4 linked regions of the Daphnia pulex genome follow. The protein of the gene in region 1 interacts with the protein of each later gene in a pairwise test. Links are inferred from orthologs where the notes say so. Each region holds a gene or a part of one and is shown on either strand. Other genes may lie near its edges.

What was found.
Region 2: the proteins of small glutamine-rich tetratricopeptide repeat-containing protein beta-like (region 1) and translocon-associated protein subunit delta-like interact in a two-hybrid assay, tested with the Caenorhabditis elegans proteins (2 studies listed by BioGRID). The link is inferred for Daphnia pulex from reciprocal best matches to the Caenorhabditis elegans genes sgt-1 and trap-4.
Region 3: the proteins of small glutamine-rich tetratricopeptide repeat-containing protein beta-like (region 1) and metaxin-1-like interact in a two-hybrid assay, tested with the Caenorhabditis elegans proteins (2 studies listed by BioGRID). The link is inferred for Daphnia pulex from reciprocal best matches to the Caenorhabditis elegans genes sgt-1 and mtx-1.
Region 4: the proteins of small glutamine-rich tetratricopeptide repeat-containing protein beta-like (region 1) and soluble calcium-activated nucleotidase 1-like interact in a two-hybrid assay, tested with the Caenorhabditis elegans proteins (2 studies listed by BioGRID). The link is inferred for Daphnia pulex from reciprocal best matches to the Caenorhabditis elegans genes sgt-1 and apy-1.

What each region holds. Positions count from the first base shown.
Region 1 is NC_060019.1:12,396,070-12,401,232, forward strand, and holds small glutamine-rich tetratricopeptide repeat-containing protein beta-like, read left to right. Parts: upstream 1-1,898; 5' UTR 1,899-2,060; intron 2,061-2,112; exon of another isoform or gene 2,113-2,134; 5' UTR 2,135-2,135; coding exon 2,136-2,222; intron 2,223-2,292; coding exon 2,293-2,415; intron 2,416-2,482; coding exon 2,483-2,604; intron 2,605-2,660; coding exon 2,661-2,810; intron 2,811-2,901; coding exon 2,902-3,113; intron 3,114-3,185; coding exon 3,186-3,237; intron 3,238-3,382; coding exon 3,383-3,445; intron 3,446-3,519; coding exon 3,520-3,658; 3' UTR 3,659-3,923; downstream 3,924-5,163. Other genes in the region: uncharacterized protein LOC124190023, read right to left, coding at 328-1,038, 1,147-1,278; galanin receptor type 2-like, read right to left, coding at 4,766-4,935, 5,040-5,163.
Region 2 is NC_060026.1:14,623,335-14,627,575, reverse strand, and holds translocon-associated protein subunit delta-like, read left to right. Parts: upstream 1-2,156; 5' UTR 2,157-2,262; coding exon 2,263-2,320; intron 2,321-2,682; coding exon 2,683-2,801; intron 2,802-2,862; coding exon 2,863-3,027; intron 3,028-3,091; coding exon 3,092-3,157; intron 3,158-3,223; coding exon 3,224-3,328; 3' UTR 3,329-3,397; downstream 3,398-4,241. Other genes in the region: zinc finger Ran-binding domain-containing protein 2-like, read right to left, coding at 3,614-3,737, 3,982-4,041, 4,100-4,241.
Region 3 is NC_060018.1:1,525,789-1,530,644, reverse strand, and holds metaxin-1-like, read left to right. Parts: upstream 1-1,859; 5' UTR 1,860-1,986; coding exon 1,987-2,073; intron 2,074-2,155; coding exon 2,156-2,302; intron 2,303-2,370; coding exon 2,371-2,640; intron 2,641-2,705; coding exon 2,706-2,940; intron 2,941-3,008; coding exon 3,009-3,163; intron 3,164-3,232; coding exon 3,233-3,265; 3' UTR 3,266-3,408; downstream 3,409-4,856. Other genes in the region: protein shisa-4-like, read right to left, coding at 46-69, 241-308, 363-451, 528-597; repressor of filamentous growth 1-like, read right to left, coding at 4,577-4,856.
Region 4 is NC_060023.1:1,872,544-1,877,607, forward strand, and holds soluble calcium-activated nucleotidase 1-like, read left to right. Parts: upstream 1-1,740; 5' UTR 1,741-1,741; coding exon 1,742-2,206; intron 2,207-2,264; coding exon 2,265-2,478; intron 2,479-2,554; coding exon 2,555-2,758; intron 2,759-2,845; coding exon 2,846-3,003; intron 3,004-3,087; coding exon 3,088-3,303; 3' UTR 3,304-3,564; downstream 3,565-5,064. Other genes in the region: WD repeat-containing protein 81-like, read right to left, coding at 1-129, 205-861, 923-1,055, 1,132-1,232. UniProt on the Caenorhabditis elegans protein: Hydrolyzes UDP and to a lesser extent GDP. By preventing the accumulation of NDP, may promote the reglucosylation of incompletely folded glycoproteins in the endoplasmic reticulum following the unfolded protein response.

The sequences.
Region 1 (5,163 bases):
AGATTTGATTGTCTAGTCATAGAAGTTAGGTATGGTTATGGTTACGTCAGAGTTTTAAAGTTGGGATGGTCGAACCTACTCCATCTAGCGACTGCTAGTAATAGATGAATATATTACATCTGCATCCCCTCAACATAATCCGATTCTGCAATTTGTATATTCAATTATGCTGTTTCGAAAAAAACTTCTATCGGATATTCGACTTTCGGTTACGGACCCACTGATGTATTATTCCACAAAAACACACAAAGAATTGCAAATAAGCATCAAGTCAAATCAAGTTTTAAATAAACAAAAAGTTTTGTATTGCACTTATAATCAGGGGAGTTACTTCTTGACTTTAAGGGATCCACATTGAAACTGTTCGCATTTTTGTACTTTGGTGAGGACGTGGTAGGAATCTTTGAGCTTTTCAGGAACATAATCCTCGACAGCTTTGGTTACCGTTTGAATTGTTTTGGAGAAGGAGCGGGACAAGGATCCAACTTCACACAGGAGACGCTGGATGCATTCCTGCGAGTTGATTGCGGCGTAAACAACTTGGGTCAGTCGTTCGACTTGGGCGATGCTCATCGCTGGAACAGCGGTGGAAATGTTCTTGTTCTTCTCCACTTGACGACGCTTGCGATCCTGGCTGTCTTGATTTAATTTGTTGTATTCGTTTTCATCTTGGTAGTCGTTTCCGTAGGCGCTGTCGTCGTAGTAAGGAGTTGTTTCGTAGATGTCAGTGTCGTTTGAAGCTAAAGGAAGCGGTCGTCTGCCTCCACCACCTCCTCCGCCACCTCCTCCCAGTACAACAACAACCACTGCAATGATGGGAAGTAAAACGGGAAGAACGAATATGAGTGGCAACGCCAAGAACTTGGTGACCAGACCACCGCCACCTCCTCCACCGGCGGAAGGAGGATCGCCGGGGATGACCAACGGAGTCAAAGGGATCGGAGCATATTCGTCACCATAAGACGGAGTTGTGTAATAAGATGGGGGAGCGTAAGATGGGGGAGGGACTGCATAAGGCATCGGGGCGTAGGAAGCCATCTATTACAAAAAGAGAAATAAAAAATAATGATATCATCTTATCTGTTTTTAACTTTGGTACTTTACAAATTAAATTAAATGCTATTGAATAAAATCTTAGTATCTTACTATTGAGTTTGCTGATGAGTGGATATCTTTTCTGTGGAAGATGAACTGATTGTGGTGTCGATTGGACATTCGCCGTCGTCTTATATAGCGCGGCTCCACGAATTTGCGAACGCTATTAGACAATTTCGTCATTAACCTTAACGTCTACCTGGAAAGAAGCTATTAGGAGGAGCAGGCGATTAAGTAAGGAGGGGGAGCGAGACTATTAACATATCTTTTTACACTTTTTCCGTTTTTTCTCAAAATCAATCGAGTTAATGACCAAATCGAGTCTGTGACCAGAGTGGCAGATTCACTAAAATCCATCATTCATTACACAAAAATTTCGTTATTTTTTATAATTAATCTTTTATTTAAGATTTGTTGAAATTGCTGGTGAAACATTGTTATTCAAGGGGTTTGTCGACTAACGTCCAAACCTCTAGGGTCCAATCGACAAAATCCGCCGCTGCAGAAGATTGCCTACTCAAAAGCGCCAGGTGTCCGCGGCGGATTTTGTCGGTAACTAATAACTAAGAGGGTGTCACGGTCAGATTTCTCGGATAGTCCGTCTTGCTAAATTCATTTCTTAGAATACAGTTAGTCATAATTTAGTCTAGTCATCAGTTAGTCTTTGAGGTCATAAATTATTCTTTAATCCACTACTCTGCTCTGGACCTCTGGTATTGCATTGGCATTTAGTTGAGCAGGGTAGGGATACGAGCGCTAGTTACCAGTCTCTGGATGGAGTCGGTTGGCCTTAAACTTATGAGGACGGTGCTTAACCGTCCGTGTTCGCCTGCTAAAATATTTTCGCCAATCATCACGGTAGTCGTATTACATATCCTAAGTGAAAGGAACACGAACGAAAAAACTCGACACGTGTGTCAACATTTTACTGGTCCTGTCACTTTTATTCCGTCGATTTGCTAAAGGTATTGCCAAGTGTCAATACTCCTGTGAAGAATCAAAATCTAAAGGTATCAGTTTTGATCCAAACATCTTTCAGAATGTCCTCTGTAAAGCGGCTAGCTCTGGCGATCGTGCAATTTCTAGCTGAGCAAAAACAATACGGAAACTTGTCACCTGACGCTCAGGTAGATTTAACACCAAATTTTCATGTTCTTATATTTTTAAATGTTTGACTATTGTACAATCTATATGCAGGAAAGTTTAGAGGTTGCTGTGCAGTGTTTAGAAACTGCTTTTGAACTGACACCTGAAGACGCAACATCTCTAAGTGTCTCCAAATCTTTGCTCGATATTTTTCATGATGCTGTTGCTTCTGAAGTGAGTTTTATATTTTAAATACTCCAATCTAACATGATTTATTATCAAGTCTCTTGTTTGACTTCAGATACCAACCTTTCCTGCTGAAGTACCCGAAGACATCAAACTTCAAGCTGAAAAACTAAAAAATGAAGGAAACAATCTGATGAAATCTGAGCAATTTACTGAAGCTCTGGTGTGCTATTCAAAGTAAGCTCTCAATATCTGTAATGTATTTTGATGTTAAATTAATGCTTTGTTTTTAGGGCCATTGAGTTGGATGGGAGAAATGCAGTCTATTTCTGCAACAGAGCTGCAGCACATAGTAAGCTCAATCAGCATCAGTCTGCCATTGATGATTGTAAAAAAGCAATTACTATTGATCCTCTCTACAGCAAAGCTTATGGCCGAATGGGGTAATCCACTTTTCTGTTTCACTCAACATTGACTAATTTTTACTAATTGTGCTCAATCTATTAACATTTAAACATTCTTCTTTATGTTTAGCTTGGCTCATGCAAGTCTCAATCAACATGGTGATGCTGTTAGGTGCTATGAACGTGCTGTTCAACTGGAGCCAGAGAATGAAAGCTACCAAAGTAATCTTCAAATCGCCGAAGAAAAGCTTAAACAGACTGGCGGAGCTGAACGTCTTCCCGGCATGGGTCCTGGTATGGGTATCCCAGGGCTTGATGTGGGAGCTATGCTCAACAATCCAGGTAGATTGTGTGTTAAATGTTTTAAACTTTGTAGCTCATTGAGCTAAATTTTTAATATTTTTTTTTTTTTAGGTTTGATGTCTATGGCCCAGCAAATGTTAAGCAATCCAAATATGCAGCAACTGTAAGTTTCTCTTTTGCCGTGATTTTTTTTAAGAAAATATATCTTGACGTGACTTCAACTGATATTTTAAATTAAATACTACGTATTCATATTTATGTCAAAAATTGCATTGTTTATTATTTTATTTTATTTCATTTATTTTTAGGATGAATCAAATGATGACTGGGTCTGCACAAGGAGGTGGTGGGCTGGAATCGCTGCTTCAAGTGTAAGATACACATTTAGACAAATTGAGATGAATGTATTCTGATCGGCCGACATATTTTTCCTTCTTCTTGGCAGTGGACAGCAGTTGGCTCATCAGATGCAGGCAACCAATCCCGAATTGGTCGAGCAACTGAGGAGGCAGATGGGCGGACCTGGAGGTGGACCCAATCCGTTTGACCCGTCCTCTGAACCGGAGGCCAAGGATCCTCAGTAAAATTCAGTACCTCAGTTCTAACAACTGGATGGCCCAGTTTATTGCTAGGATATCCCCCCCCCCCTAACTCAACCCTTCTTCACTATGTTTCATCTCCATTTTTCATTGTTTTTTTTTATATCACTGCAACCTGTCGGTAGTATCATACAGTGAAGCACGTAATAGTAATATGTATTCAACGATTCCTGCTTCAAATGCATACGAATGTGTACGAATTGATGAGAAACGCAGGCGGTAATGAGTAAAAAGAAAAAATGGAGCATCACATATTCTGCGTTTCATACCAATATTTGCTCGAAATCGAGATTAAAATTACCATTACATTAGTCGACGGCAATTCAGCGGGAATAGATTAAAGCATTTGAATTCTGACAATAATCGGTCGAAACATTCTTAATCGGTTTCACACTGCAGGGCCGTTAGTTTTTTTACAGTTCAAGAAAACAATTTTTCCACTGATTCAACTTTTTGCCAGAGATGGAAAGAGCAAATAAATTGTTTTTTATTGTGCATGTTATAAACTATGTAGTGGCCGAAGCAATTAAGTATCATAGATTTTTAGAAATGCCTTAATTCAAGTTCAAAACTTCCAACTATTCAGGTAATTGATATTCTTTCTTGTTAATATCATGTTAATATCAGATTAAGATTTTGTTTATAGGGCGAATGAACAGGTTCTGACTGTTTCAACTTGTTACAAAGGTAAAAATTCTTAAAAAAAAAACCCAAAAACGGGTTGGTTGTTAGTTTGACAAGTTTTTTTTTTCTTTTTTAAATTAGATAACATTAAAGATAGTGTGTATTGTTTTCCTTCATCCGCGTACAAAGAGATGAATACGTGCAACATGGAAACGTGACGAAAATGAAGTGAAACACGTTCAAACATTGACGATATCAAGATGGTGATATCTGACATGAAATAACGAGATTTTTTGGTTTCAGGTTTACCAGTAATGAGTATTAGTGGGGAGGTGGGGTTAGGGGGGGGGGAGGGATGAATATCGTGTTATCGAAACGGGGGCTCTTTATTTTCGTCAAAAATAAATCCTCCCTATATATATATATAACGTTGAGATCATACATCGAAAATGTGTAATTCTATTTCTCTCAAATGTCTTCCGTACTAAACAGCCCCGGCCGTTCTTGGTAGAGAGAGTTGCGCGGAATGGCCGTCGCTAAAGTCGCTTCGGTCGTGGCTATCGAGACGCAGTACGCCGACGTGTGACCAAGTGTCCCGTGTCTCCGAAGTCCCGTTCCATTGCTCATTTCAAACATGACTAAAAAATAAATAAATAAATAAAAAGAAACATTTAATTATAAAAAAAATGTCGTTGAACAATCAAGACATTTTAGTCTTAACTCTTATCTACAAAATACGAACCCGAGTTTGGACGAGTGTTGTGGGCGTCGTCGTCTTCACAGCAGCGGACGAGACAGCCACACATTTGAGAGAATCTTCGTCTCCGGGTGCAACACCGAACCATCATTCGTCGGAAATTTGTCGA
Region 2 (4,241 bases), on another chromosome or scaffold:
TAGCCCCCCAGCTAGTCAGCTGTCATTTCTCATCTTCCAGAAGAAATTCATCACGCTACTCTTTTTTTCTTCTTTCATTATTTTTTTATGTGCCCTCTAAAAAATTAGTTTATTATTTTTTTTTATTTTTTTATTGTTATAAATATTCCCCCCTTAGGTCTTTCATGGAAAAATCGAAACGATGGTACACTCCCACCTCCTCCACTACTACGTGTGTGTGTGTCCGTTTCGACTTTGGGGTTTAAAAAGGCCATCGTTCGCTTTGGTTCTTTAAACACACATATACCATCCCCCCCCCTCTTCCCATCCTCTTATTGTATGTGCATGTTTCCGGTCTTTTCCCTCTGTGTGTGTGTTTCGCCGGTTACGTGTGAGAAGAAAAAGAAGAAGAAAAGTTTTGAAAAAAAGAAGAAATCAAATAATAAAAGAAATTGTGTGTGTGTGTGTGTGTAAGATAGACACACACATAGACACACAGCCCGTAACCAAGGAATCAAGAACATATCGTGAGTTGCGCGGGCTATACTAAAACAAAAAAAAAATTTATATCCCCGACATTTGGTCGTGTGTGTCGTGTCGTCTGTTATATTGGGGGGTGGTTTAAGAATGGGGTGCAAAGAAATTATGTTTTTTTTTTTTCTTTTCTTTTTCCAATATTTTTGTGTGTGTGTTTTCTTTCAGAAAAACAAAAGAAAGAAGAAAAATAATGTTGGTCTCTCCCGATCATGTTTCAATCGGTTTCAATTGCAAAATGTGTGTCACTCCTTAAATTTTTGTTTTTTTTCTTCCCATGTTTTGTTGTCCCACGAAATGATGGAAAATGATCGTGTTCTGATTTTGTGTCTGTGTGTGCGCGTTTTTGTTTTTTTGTCTCTAATTTTTGTTTCGTTTTCTTCTCCCGCGTGCTATTGGCTAGCGCTCGGTCCCGCCATTTCGATTCTACAACCGATTGACGTGTTGTTTCGCTCAGCGCCCCCCCTCTCAATCCTCCTCCCTCTCGGTGTAATCGATAAATGATGATTGCGTGTGAGAGTTTAAATAAAAAACAAAAATTGTTCCGCTCGTCTGCGTTTTATTTCGTGGAATTTTTTTCTTCTTCCCGATTCTTCGACGGCGCATTCCTCGTGAAAATGTGAAGAAAGAAAAACGTGTTTACTCACTGGGAACCGACCATTGTGCGTGTGTGTGTGTATCTTGTTTATAGATGGAGAAATTCACCAAATCGAGTCATATATATATATAGTAGAGCCGGTAGTCCCGCCTCTCGTGTGGCGGCGCGGGATATACACTCTCACGAACGGGCAATATCTTTTGAATTCGCCCGTTTGTGGTGGGCGGCCATGAAATGATACGTACCCAGGGCGGACAAGAATGGGCTCGCAAGAAAAGCACACGAGTTTTACTTGACTCTTTTACTTAATAGTACCTTTTGATATTGTATGTAATAAACATGAAGAAAAGAAAAGAAGCTTTTGTTGAAATAACCCCCTCATGCCTCAACATGTTCATTTTTCTTTTGACATGAAATTCTTCCCACCACCACCGAAACAATTTGACGGTTGTGACCTTTCGTCGTTGGCGGAAAATTTGAATCTCTTCATTCCGGTTTGCGCTGTGACGATAATTCTAGACGGAATAATGGCAACGGCTGTGTTTATATTTACGTTGACGGAAGGTATTTGATCCGAAGCAAAAATTCGGGGAATTAAGAATTTATTCATATGGCTGCCAAGTTCAATGTCACTCTGCTGTTTTGGTGAAACATCTGCTGCTCCGTGATATGTTTTGTTTCGTGCGTTCATTATTTATTCATTATGCTGCGGGAATAATATAGTTCTTTTTACTATATTTTTATGCTAATGTTTATCATTATTTATTAGGTTCATAAGCGGTCACGGACTCACGGTGTTTTTTGTTGTTGTTGTTGTCACGAAGGATTGTTCGTTTCTTCGCTAGATGGCGGGAATGGACGACGTGCCAATCTTTTTATTTTACTTTGTCAAACAGAGACATTAACTGCAATGTTAATTTTTTTAATTATCAGAAGATTATTCTTCATTTTATCTAATTATTTTAATGTTTTATTGAAATTAAATCAATTTGAGTGAAATCTAGACAAACAAATCTGGCAGCACACGTAAACATCATCAAACGTGGCCTATACGCCTCTGGTGGCCAAAAATTAAACCATCCAGTTGCTGTCAAAAACCAACGAAAATTTGTAACAACCACTGTCCATTCGCAATCCTTTTGAATCCCATCATGTCTTGCAAATTGTTGGTCGTGTTTTCCATCGCCGTTTGTTTCTCCGCTGTCTCAGGTATCTATTTTTGTAACAATCATTATTTTCGGAGTAGCCTTCCTATTTAAACCGTCCATGGATAGTTTCGAAGCCGGTCTGGAAAATAAGAAATTTGTGATTATCTTCCCATATTGCAACTCTATTTAGATACTATATAAGTTTTCAGAAACAGGATTTTAATTAACTCTATTAAAGAAAAGCTGATTTGTTTTTAGTATGAATTTTGGGATCTCAGTAACGGGGCAAAGAACTTGAAATGGGGACACCAAGTATTTAAACCAAATTAGTTGTATGTTATATTATTTAGGGGAAGATACATGAGTTCTCAATTAATTGTAATAGTGTGAAACAAATCTGATTATCTATTTCATTATTTTCAGCTTCCTCCTGCTCAAGTCCAAGTTTGACCTCCACATCTTTCACCACTCTCGATGGCACCATTCTCACAAATATCGCCTATGTCTCCCAGTTTAAACTGAGCTGCGATGGAGAGCCTGCTGTAAGACATTCCTGTTTTTATTAAATTAACTGAAATTTCACAAGCTTTACCAAATATACAGGATATCCCACTGTATGCCGAGGTTGGTGGCAAACCCTTGTCTGTTGTAAAGAGCAAGGAAACCAACGAATATGTTGTCAGCTGGTTGGAGGAAACCAAGAAAGCTCCCCGTGGAAACTTTGAAATCAAAGTCTACGATGATGAAGGTTACGCTGCCGTTCGCAAGGTAAATAATATTCATTAGTCGAACCCCTACTTCCTACCTGAAAATTAACTCATTCATCTTTTAGGCTCAACGCAACGGTGAAGACACCTCCGCTGTTCCAACTGTCGGTGTTGTGGTCCTGTACCATCCCGTAAGCTAAAGAAACCTTAAATCTTATCTGATTTTCTAAACTAAACGAGTCGTGATTTCATTTCAGGGTGCCTACACTGGACCGTGGATCAACTCTGAATTAGCTGCTGTTATTGTTGCATTTGGTGTGTTATACTACGCCGTGACAACAAAGACGAAACTGGAGGCATAAGAAATGCAAAGTTTGGAAGTAATTGTTTATTTTTCTGCCATGAGAAAATAAATTGCAGGAAAAGGTGAAGATAATGTTACTATCAAAATCTATTATGGGTGTAAAAGGGTAATTTTGCAAGCGATGCAGTTGATCATCAACTCAAATTGCTTTTGAGTAAAGTTGAAGAAGTTTAGCGACGTCTGCGGCTTCTAGAACGAGACCTAGTATACAAGAAGAGGAACTTGTCTCAATATTCGCAATAGTTAATCAACATGTTTGACGATTGTTCTGTTTGTGAAGCAACTAAAAATGAAAGCCCTTGATTGGCAAACCAAACCTGGACCGAGAACGGCTTCTAGAACGGTCGCTTGAAGATCTTGAACGGCGTCGGCGGCGATCACTGCGTTTATCTGACCTTCTGCTCCTGCTAAAGTGGAGAAATTTCTACGTAATCTCAAAATTTCGGTCGATAAAAAAAACACGTGTGTGGACAATTGTTTCGAATAACCGTTTGGGTTCGAACTAGATACGGACCTTACAAGCGGTTACCTCAACCACATTGACAAGAATGATAGTTTAGCCGTTCAAAAATAATTTTGGAGGTGTTTTGGAATCAACAGAAAAACAAAAGTTGTTTGCCCGATAGCCAAATTGTCGCTACCGGGTGTTACCTTGACCTAGAACCGGATCGATCACGAGAAGACGACCTGGAACGACCGGGAGACCTGGATCTGCCAAAATGTAAACAGCATGAGCTCAATTCAATAGTGGTAAAAGATAACTCAATACTTTTCAGAGTGACGCACTCCGCTGGATTTGCTGCCATTTTCTGATTTTACTGGAGCATCGTTGACAGGTGATGATTTCTTTTCTTCGGGATTCTCGTTACTTTCGTCACCCCAACCACTAAGATCGTATTTTGATAAATCTC
Region 3 (4,856 bases), on another chromosome or scaffold:
ACAAAGATGTCTACTGTTTGAAACCAAATCTTAACATAAGCTAACCTTCGCAAAGGGTTCCTCAGGGCACTTGTTCCATTCCAATAATATAATTTTTTAAATTTCCATCACACAATGGAAATTAATAACACAAAAAAACAAAAACTATGAATTAGGATTCACTATATCAAGACATCACACAATTATCAAACTAACAAAAAGTTTAAGTAAACATACAGCATGTAAAAAAAAGTTACTAACTTGTCTATTGTAAGACCTCGGCAGCAGAACTGTCCTCCAAGGTCATCATCATCTCCACAACAGAATACCTATGTGTTAAAATTAGTTTTGTTGTTCATCAGAATTTAAGTGGAGAACTGTACCATGTCTGGAGTTTGCCCGGGTTCAGGACATGTGAAGTAGCTTTTTACTCCAAATATACTTTTTCGTTTGCACATTTTATATCCATCACCTGTTATTGCGATAATTAAAAGAAGATGTAAGAAATAAGTAGAGGCATAACTGATGGGAAAAACTGTTTTTCTTACCATTCTGTAAACAAACCACAAAGAAAACCATAAAGACAAATAGCACTGTTGCAAATCTAGGATTTGCCATATTGATGTTTCACTGCAGAAAGTTGGGAGTGTCAATCCTAATGAGAAACGTCAGAAAATTATGAAAGGAGGGTTGGATCAGCTTTAAGTGTGTTTTTTTAGAGATCCAGATTCTATGAATGGCTAGTGATGAATGAACGGATGACTAATACAAAATTTCGTGAAACTTTCACGGAATTACTTCATTCTACGTCAACCCAAGGTTTTGTCTTTCATGGGTGTTGTTGCACAAGAAACAAACAGTTGATTTTTACCAGCGAGTCTTCTGCGAAGGCCAACGCACGAAGAGTCAAGACGCGACAAGACTTTCTCTGAAGGTTGTTGGGGCAAGGATGGAAAAAACCAACAACCAACAACACATGGATCGGAAAATGTAGCTAAGCAGTAGCCAAAGGCTCGCTGCCGGCAGTTCATGTGGAAAGGCTTATGCTTATGTAGTTCAATAATTAACGTTTAAAATATCATGCATTCATGTTTCATGTTCATGCTTGAAGACTAAAAAATGCAGACGTGTAACTAAAACTCTGATTGGAATTTTGTTGTCGTGACGTAAAATGACCACTGGGAATCTTGTTTTACAAGGACGAAGTATGAAATGAGACATGGGAAATTGGCAATTCCCCAAAACTGCTATTCAACATATTTGAATAGGCTACTCTGTATATAGGTCCGCCCATGTAATACTTAAAACTTAAAATGTGAAAATGAATGAATAGATCGCGATTGTGAATTCGGGAAACCCTTCGATTAAAAATGGGAGGGACTGCCGGCCGCAATGTCGCATCCGCATTTCCGACCCCATTTTCCGATATGGATTCTATCCTAGACGAAGCTGTCCCCCACCCACCATCCGATAAAATGCATTTTCTACTCAGAGTGATAGGAACTAGAGGGTTCGTTCGAAAATCAAACGGTTTTCCTTGTTATTTTATATATTTTTGAGCGTATGGGTTGCAGGGGAAGCTCATGCGTGCATCGAGAGATTGGATTTTTCTACAAGGACGAAACCACTGACGCTTTCGCTTGATACAGCGTAACGTTTTCATAAAATTTTGTTTTAAACATTTCATATTTGAATTTTGAATTTTTGGGTTAGATATAACCGTACCAATCATAATATTTTTCGTTTATTGTAAAAAGAAAATTAAATTAATAATCATTCGTTCAAATATTTTCCGCCAGAGGCGCTAGCGAGAAGGACAAAATGGCTCAGAATTTGCCGCAACTCTTAAAGGAATACTTGGGCCCTTAATCTATAAAGTAAGTAAGCTTAGCAGACGCTTGCACTTGCCAAGATCCCGAGATTGTAGCATGTAACTTTGTTTATGTTGTTTTTTTAAAAAGCCCGTGTTACAATTGTGGATTTAAAGGATTCATTCCTATATTTGTGATGGCTTCACATCCAGTCATGGAACTTGATATTTGGAAAGGGGAATGGGGCCTACCATCAATTGACGTTCATTGCTTAGAAGTCATGGTAAGGCAAACAATAATAGGGTAAAATTTAACAAAAAATCCACGTTAGATAACACATTCTTTTTTTTTTTTACTCTTGTTAGACCTATGCCAAATTCTCCGGAACACGGCTGGTAACGAAGTCGACCAATAATCCTTTAAGAACACCCACTGGCTCTTTACCAGTTTTTCAACACGAGAATGAGTGCCTGACAAAATTTGGTGAAATATCAGCTTACCTCAGGAAGAATGTATAGGAATCTATTTTTTATATAATTGTTAATCTATAAATTAAAGATTTTTTGTTTTTCAAAATTAGAACCATACTGCAGATTTTGAACTATCTCCAAAACAGTGTGCTGAAGCATTTGCATACTCTCATCTCATTTATGAGAAGCTTGCTCCAGCACTTCAATTTGTGTGGTGGATTGATTCTAAAAATTTTGTTGAGTTCAGTCGTCCACTTTATGCCAAGCTTTTACCATTCCCTTTAAATTTCTATTATCCTGGTCAATATGAAAAACATGCTAAACAACTAATGGTTTCACTGTATCCTGAAGAAGAGGATTTTTCTGTCATTGAAACAGCAGTAAGTAAACTTGACGTAATTAAAACTGGTATTATTTGTATAACAGGGACTTTATTTTTTGCCAGGTTTATAGACAAGCTGAAGAATGTCTGAGCCTTTTAGCCACTAAACTTGGTGAAAAAGAATATTTTTTTGGACAATCGCCTTCGTCTTTGGATGCTGTAGTATTTGCTCACTTAGCTCCGTTATTGAAAGCTCCCCTGCCCAGTGCTGCTCTGCAAAACCACTTAAAAGCATGTACTAATCTCACTCGCTTCGTGGGACGTATATTGCAGCGATTTTTCCCGAAAGAAGTCAAGGGTACAGTTAAATTCTCAATGTTTCCTGCGACTATTCTTTATACATCTTCTTTTTTTGTCTTTCTGCTTTAGAGCAAGAACAGAAAGAGCGACAGCAAACTGCTAAGCAAGAAGCTCCATATTCTGATACTGACTTTCCAAACAAGTTGCGGAACATAAGTATTGCTGCGCTAGTTTCCTTCATCGCGATGATTGCCTATGCCACATCGGCCGGCATCATACAGGTAAATCGATTAATCGATAATTGATTTTAATACGTCACCCACTAACCTAGTGATTCGGCATTTTATTAGGTGGTGCCTGAAAGCGACGAGGATGAAGAGTGATTGCACTTCACGTCAATAGGATGAATAGTGTCCGTACTCATTATGCTTTTTTCAGTAGACACATGTGATCAAGTCCAGCTTGAAAAGAAAAAGCCTTTCCATACCATCAGAGTCGAATAAATCTGTGTGTATTTAGTCATCAAGCCCAACAAGTAAATCAAAACAATTTCATCGTGTTCATACGGGGGAGGATTGCCAATTTTTTTTTTTTTTATTTTATAATAAGAAAACTTTACTGTCGAGGAAACAAAATAAGAAATACATGAGGGGTGGGATGGTAGAAAGGAAACTCGGCGGACGCAATGGATAGGATACGTAAACTTTGGACTTTGGTAGATCTACACATGGGGGGGGGGGGGAAACAAGCGCTCTCGACGCGCTGTATCAGTTCCGTGATGCTCTGAATTGGGTTCGGAAAAGTGACGACGCTCTCAGCGTTTTCATGGGGCTCTCATGCGGAACGTATATATATATAGCTGATATTTCATGATGACTTGTACATTTTGTTCTTCCATGATTCTCTTTTCACCAGTCGCGCATTGTAATTCTTTCTTAAATGTTGGGAACTCTCGGGGGAAATTTGTCCGAGTCATGCCACCCGGATCGTCCAGGCAGTGTTGGGTCTCTGCACACACATTTTTATTGTTACCGATGAAATAACCCCGCCGCCGTCGCGGCACGCACTCTCTTTCGCTATCGACGATGAGTAAATTCGCTGTTGTTATTTTTTCTTGTCTTCGTAGATAGGTGCATTCAAATCGTGGGGTCGGGAAATTTGTTCTCTCTCTCTCTCCTCATTCCGCCGATGCCCATCACCTAAATAGCGCCGATGTTTTCTTCCAAGAGGTTTTTAGAAGCCGATAGTATGTAGCGTGCTGTAAACTGACGGTGAGGAGTTGAAGGGAGTACATGTACACAATCGGACAGGAAATTTGTTCTTTGTTTTTTTACATAACAGAGACAGAAGAAACACACGGGGGTAAAAATAAAGGCGGCCATCCAATTCACTCTCAAATATTTCGGAGCTACAAAAAGTTACAAATATTAAGTGCATTATATTATATAGGTACACATTTCTCTTTAACTACGGATTACTGCGCAAACGGCGCACAACTACGACGTTTACCCTTTGAAAACGTCGTTTAGGAAATTGCGAAATTACTGTATATAAATTCAACTCTGAATTGTGTGCGCTACTGTTCGTATGGTACAACTAAAAAGGGATGAAATTTCGGTAAATTTTTTGTTTTTGTTTTGTTTTTTGTGCTCGATACGAGTCGATATTAAATGTAGATGGTAGAATATAATAACTCAGCAATCGTAATAGACGGAGCGCACGTCAGCCAAAGCCGAACTGAGACTAGAGCCTGCCGCTGGAATGGTTTCGTAGATGGGCTCCGATTTCATCAAAATGTATTCGTTAGTAGCGTGGAGACCGGCGCCGTTCTCTTTGTGGCCGTCAAACTGTTCCGACGTCGACTGCTGGCCGTCGCTCAAGTGATGATTGGTGCTGCTGCCACCAGCGTGACTCAGGCCGGCGTTGCCTTGTCCGTAGAAAGAGCAGTTGACACTGGTGGCGTGATTCGCCCCG
Region 4 (5,064 bases), on another chromosome or scaffold:
ATTACCGAAAGGTGAACTGAGATCAGAAATCCAAGGCAAAACGGGATGATTGAAAGGATTATTAATTTGACGACCAGCCAGATCGTTCAAGGCCATTAAGTAGTCGTAATTTGATAGACAACCTCGAACCTAATAACGATTTGAAAAATACCATTGAAGCAAATGCGAACGTCAGATAATGTTAACAGTAGATGATAAACATACCCATGACGTTGTCAGTTCTTGAAGACTAGCTTCCTGTTTTGTTGGCTGAACGGGTTCTAGTGGAATCAAACTAGAGGCTAGTGCAGGAAGAACTTTAAGACTCAAACTTTCGTTGATGAAAAAATGTTGCCACGAAACCCCTTCGACAAAAAGGGATCGGTCTTGCATCTCCTTGACGGCGTGCAACATTTGAAACAACAAGAACATGGGCTTCACGCTATTTGAACTTAGAAGCGAGGGACTAAGACTGAGGCACTGGTGCACACTGTGTGGAATGTGTTCTGTGATCACAAAAAAGTTGGATGAACATTCAAATACTCCAAACGCTTGCAAAACACAGCTCGGTGACTGGCTAGTAGGATGGAGGACTGAACCACTTTCCAAGGAAATTATGGGGCAGCTGAACACCCTCGCTAGCAGTGAACTAAGAGATTCCTGCCAGCTTGCATTTTTGGGATTGCTGCGCCGACCTCTGTTCAAGGCAAAAGGCCTGTACGCTTCTGGAAACTTTTTCTGTGACTCTTTCCACAGGTTCTTGAAGTTTGTCTGAGACACATAGTGAAGGTACTGTGAGTAGGTGAGGTCCTTCACATCTAGTCCCATGTCTGGGTGGATGCTGGATGTGGATAGAACTGGATGATTACATTTAGGAATAACCTGTTGGTAGTAACAAGGTGTTAATAGAAATGAAAAGATGTATGAAAAATCGTCTACTAACATTTATGTACACTAATATCCAATCTGGGCTAATAAGAGATTCTGAGTCCCACAGAAAAGCCTGCACTTCATCTGGAGAATAAGTAGCATGATTTTCAAATTCATCTGGTAGCTTTAAATTTTTCTTTATATACCTGCAGAGGAGCCAAACAAATGTATGAAGTTTAAGAAAAATTTAAAGTTTCATTGGATTCATGGTAAGGTACTTACAAACACCATTTCTGGGGTAAGGCTGCTATATATACATCTTTAAGTTGTGTTTTTCTAATATACAATGGAGGAATGCATAGTTTTTCACTTATTAACTCCATAACAACAATTTAACAACTCCGAATAGAGACCATCTAATAAAAAAATCACTCGCAGTCAATCCGTCAGTCAGTCGAGTGTAAACAACACCCCCATGAGTGACATCTATGTACTGTAGCAGACGTCACGTAAATTATCATAAATCCGTTTGAATTAAAAATGAATAAAAGAACTTGGCAGAAACGAAAATCGAATTAAAACCTATCGGAATTAATAGTCACTGGAAATTTGAAGAGATTACAAAGTTCGTAATTCTTGCTTCCGAGTTCTGCTAAACTGCAGAACGATTAGAGACAGACGACGTAATTATAATAGCAGACGCCACGTGTACAAAAAAAAGTCTATCGAAATTCGGAAATTGTCGAGTGGGCAAACTGTCAAGTGTCAAAACACTTTGCCAGTTCCCACACACAGTGTCTGGTTGTTATAAGAACGAACAGCCTTTTGGCCGTGTTCTTTGTTATTTAATTACAGTTTATATTATAGTAACTTAAATGGATCGTAAGGAGATATGGTAGAATATACCAAACTTACTGTTAACGAACCAGGCTTGGAAAAAACCGACAGAATGCAGGACTGGAGGCAAGCCATCCAGATTCCGACTGCTTATCGCATCGGAAATAGCACAGTTCGACTCCAGTACCAGTTTGTTATGGGAGTTTTGGCTGTCGGAGTCATAGCACTGGTCATGTTTTACAACTCGTTCTCCCACAGCAAGCCCCACAACTCTTACATGCTGGAAAAACGAATTCCTTCAAATTACGAGAGTGATCACCTTCACAAGCATAATTTACCTGAGCCCAAACAAAGCAACTACAACTCCACTTATCCCTTGACCACCCCTGTACGGACAGAAAAGGGTGTACGCTACAAGATTGCCATAATATCTGATTTGGACACCAACTCGAAAAAGGAAGATGAATGGATAAGTTATTTAAAAACAGGCGCACTTTTTGTAGATATTGAAAAAAATAAGGTAATTCATTGTCTATTTTGTTTTCAAAGCTTTACCTACATTTAATTTCTTGCTGCAGGTTTCACTAGAGTGGGACCAGGATGAGCTTATGACATTGAAAACTACCCTTGCTCAAGGAGGAAGAGGAATGGAGTTGTCAGAACTGGTTGTGTTTAATGGTGCTCTTCTCGGTTTCGACGATAGAACCGGAACCATTTATCAAATTGATATCGCCTCGAAATTCGCCTATCCTTGGGTACTTTTGGTCGATGGGCATGGTCGCGTTGCCAAGGGTAATATTTCAAAAATCAACTGCTAGCTTCCGTCGTGTTATAGTAACGTTTATCTCTTTAACAAAAAATTGTCTAGGCTTCAAGAGTGAATGGGCGACTGTAAAGGATCAAAGCCTTTACGTCGGTGGTCTGGGTAAAGCCTGGACTACTCCGACAGGTGAATTGGTCAATTATCACCCGCAATATATCAAGAAAGTCACCACGACGGGTGAAGTCTCTCATATTGATTGGCACACGCGCTACGAAGCCCTGGCGAAAGCAGTCGACATTTCATTTCCAGGTATATTATCAACTACTATCTATACTAAAATGTATATATACTAGAATCGATATTCATCAAATATTTGATTGCTTCCACTTCACCAAGGCTACATAATCCACGAATCGGCTTCGTGGAGTTCTGTCCACAAGCGGTGGTTCTTCTTGCCCCGCCGGGAGAGTAAAGATCGTTATGACGAGAAACTGGACGAATCGAGAGGTTCGAATTTGATGCTCACCGCCGACGAGGAGTTCAGCGATATCAAGGTTAGCTGGGGGCTGTCATTCTTCCCATTCCTATATGTAGGCCAAGTCAATAAAGTATTAAACCCTTGTTCCAACAATAACCAGGCCAAGAGGATCGGCGACATCAGTCCCACCCACGGATTCTCCAGCTTCAAATTCGTGCCCAACACACACGACAGGCTGATAGTGGCTCTCAAATCGGAAGAGAACCAAGGCAAAACAGCCAGCTACATCATGGCCTTTGACATTGACGGAACGATCCTGCTGCCCGAGACTAAAATCGATGGCGATTTCAAATTCGAGGGAATCGAGTTTATTTAATTTCCGCTTCCAGCAGCAACCGTTGAATTGTTGGGTGTCTTTTTCCCACCCTATTATTATTATTTGCGCCATCACTTCTGACTTTGTTCACAGCTGTTTTTATCCTCTTTTCTTACCTGCCCGATTTGACTAGCGTGCAACGTGTCTCTTCATCCTTTCTTTCTTTCTTTTTGTTGTTGTTTCCCATTTTATGTTTCCCGTCTTCTAGGATGAATTCAAAATGCGAGATATTGTAAGATTGAATACACGCCAAATAATCAATTTCCCGTTACGCTATAGTGTTACTTTTTTTCGAATTGGCCGGAGGGCACGGATGATGCCCTCATGCGGGTTTTTAATTTTCCCCAAAAACTTTGAATCAAATCCTCCTCCGATCGGCTTTTTATTTTATTTATTTAAATTGATTTATTCAATTCATTTGCGCAAGACTTTTCTGACGCCCTGCCAGAAAGAGGTCCATCGATCTTATCTCACGGAAGCCATTCTCTTTTATTCGACCGAAAATAAAACAAAAACATCTGCGTCTTGTGGCTTTTTAACCTTCTCTCCTATACGTGGCAGCACAGCCGCCGTCAAGTTGCGTGAGCTCCAGAACATTCGCGTCCGTTGCTCAGCTCTGTTTTCTTTTCTTTTTTTTTTTCAGGTTCGTTTTTACTTCACGTCGTCCTAGCCTGGCAGCAGTCTGGGAACGGTCAAACATGAACAAGAGAGTCGACGGTCCAGACAGAATGAATCAAATAATCGATACTACTCTCTCTTCCAGCGCCCGTCGTATAAGAATACATCAACTCTGAAACATATACATTTCTGGGCGAAAAATTTCATCTGTCATTTGTTTAAAAAATGGAAAAATGAAAAAATGGAAATCGGAAGCTAATTTTCGATGGGAATGATAACACCTGTGTCCAGCCGAAATAAAAAAAAAGATGTGCAACTAATAAATAGACACACAAGAGGCCGGCCGGCCCGGAAACAAGACTTGCATGGTGACCGGGTTCGTTTGGGAACTTCATTGGCATCTGGTCCGATTCCCTCATCAATTTCCCCTTTTTTTCACGTTTCATCACCGCGAGCTCGGGGGGGGGTTATTGCATCAAAGTAGACGAGAGCTAGGCTTAAAGTCATCAAAGTATCTCTAGTCTTGAATTCATTCAAGAAAACAGAAATAGGAAGAATATAGTATATTATCTTGTGCATTTCGTGTGTTGAAATCAAAACGCGATGATATGTTATGCTGTGCTGCCCAGGGTCTTTTGTCAGTTCCGGGTCAAAAATGGCGCAGCAAATTGCATGTCCCTTTTTTTATTTTATTTTCCCAAGGAATTACATGCAGACGGCCAACACACACACCGACACACGGGTCTCTCCCCCAAGTGTATCGATCGTCCACGTGCGAGCGTCGTGATCAACCGCAGCTCAGACTTACAAGAAAAAATGTAATCACTTACAAATATAATTCCCTGGCACTAAAATTAGCAGACGACATTGAAACAATTTGATGCCAAGAATCGGCCAGATGGTTTGACAGATGATTCGAATGTGAACGCACCGCCATGAATTATATAACGTTTGCTGATATCATTAGAAAAAGAAAAATCATTTCCGTTGGAACCTACAGAATTTTAATTTTAAATTTAAATTCCAGGCGAAATAAAAACTTGTACCACCGCTGAACTGCAGATGCTTTTGTTATTTCTCTCGATGTACAACCTCACATAATAATGTGGGACTATTATAGCCATCAAAAAGGTCCCCCCGGGA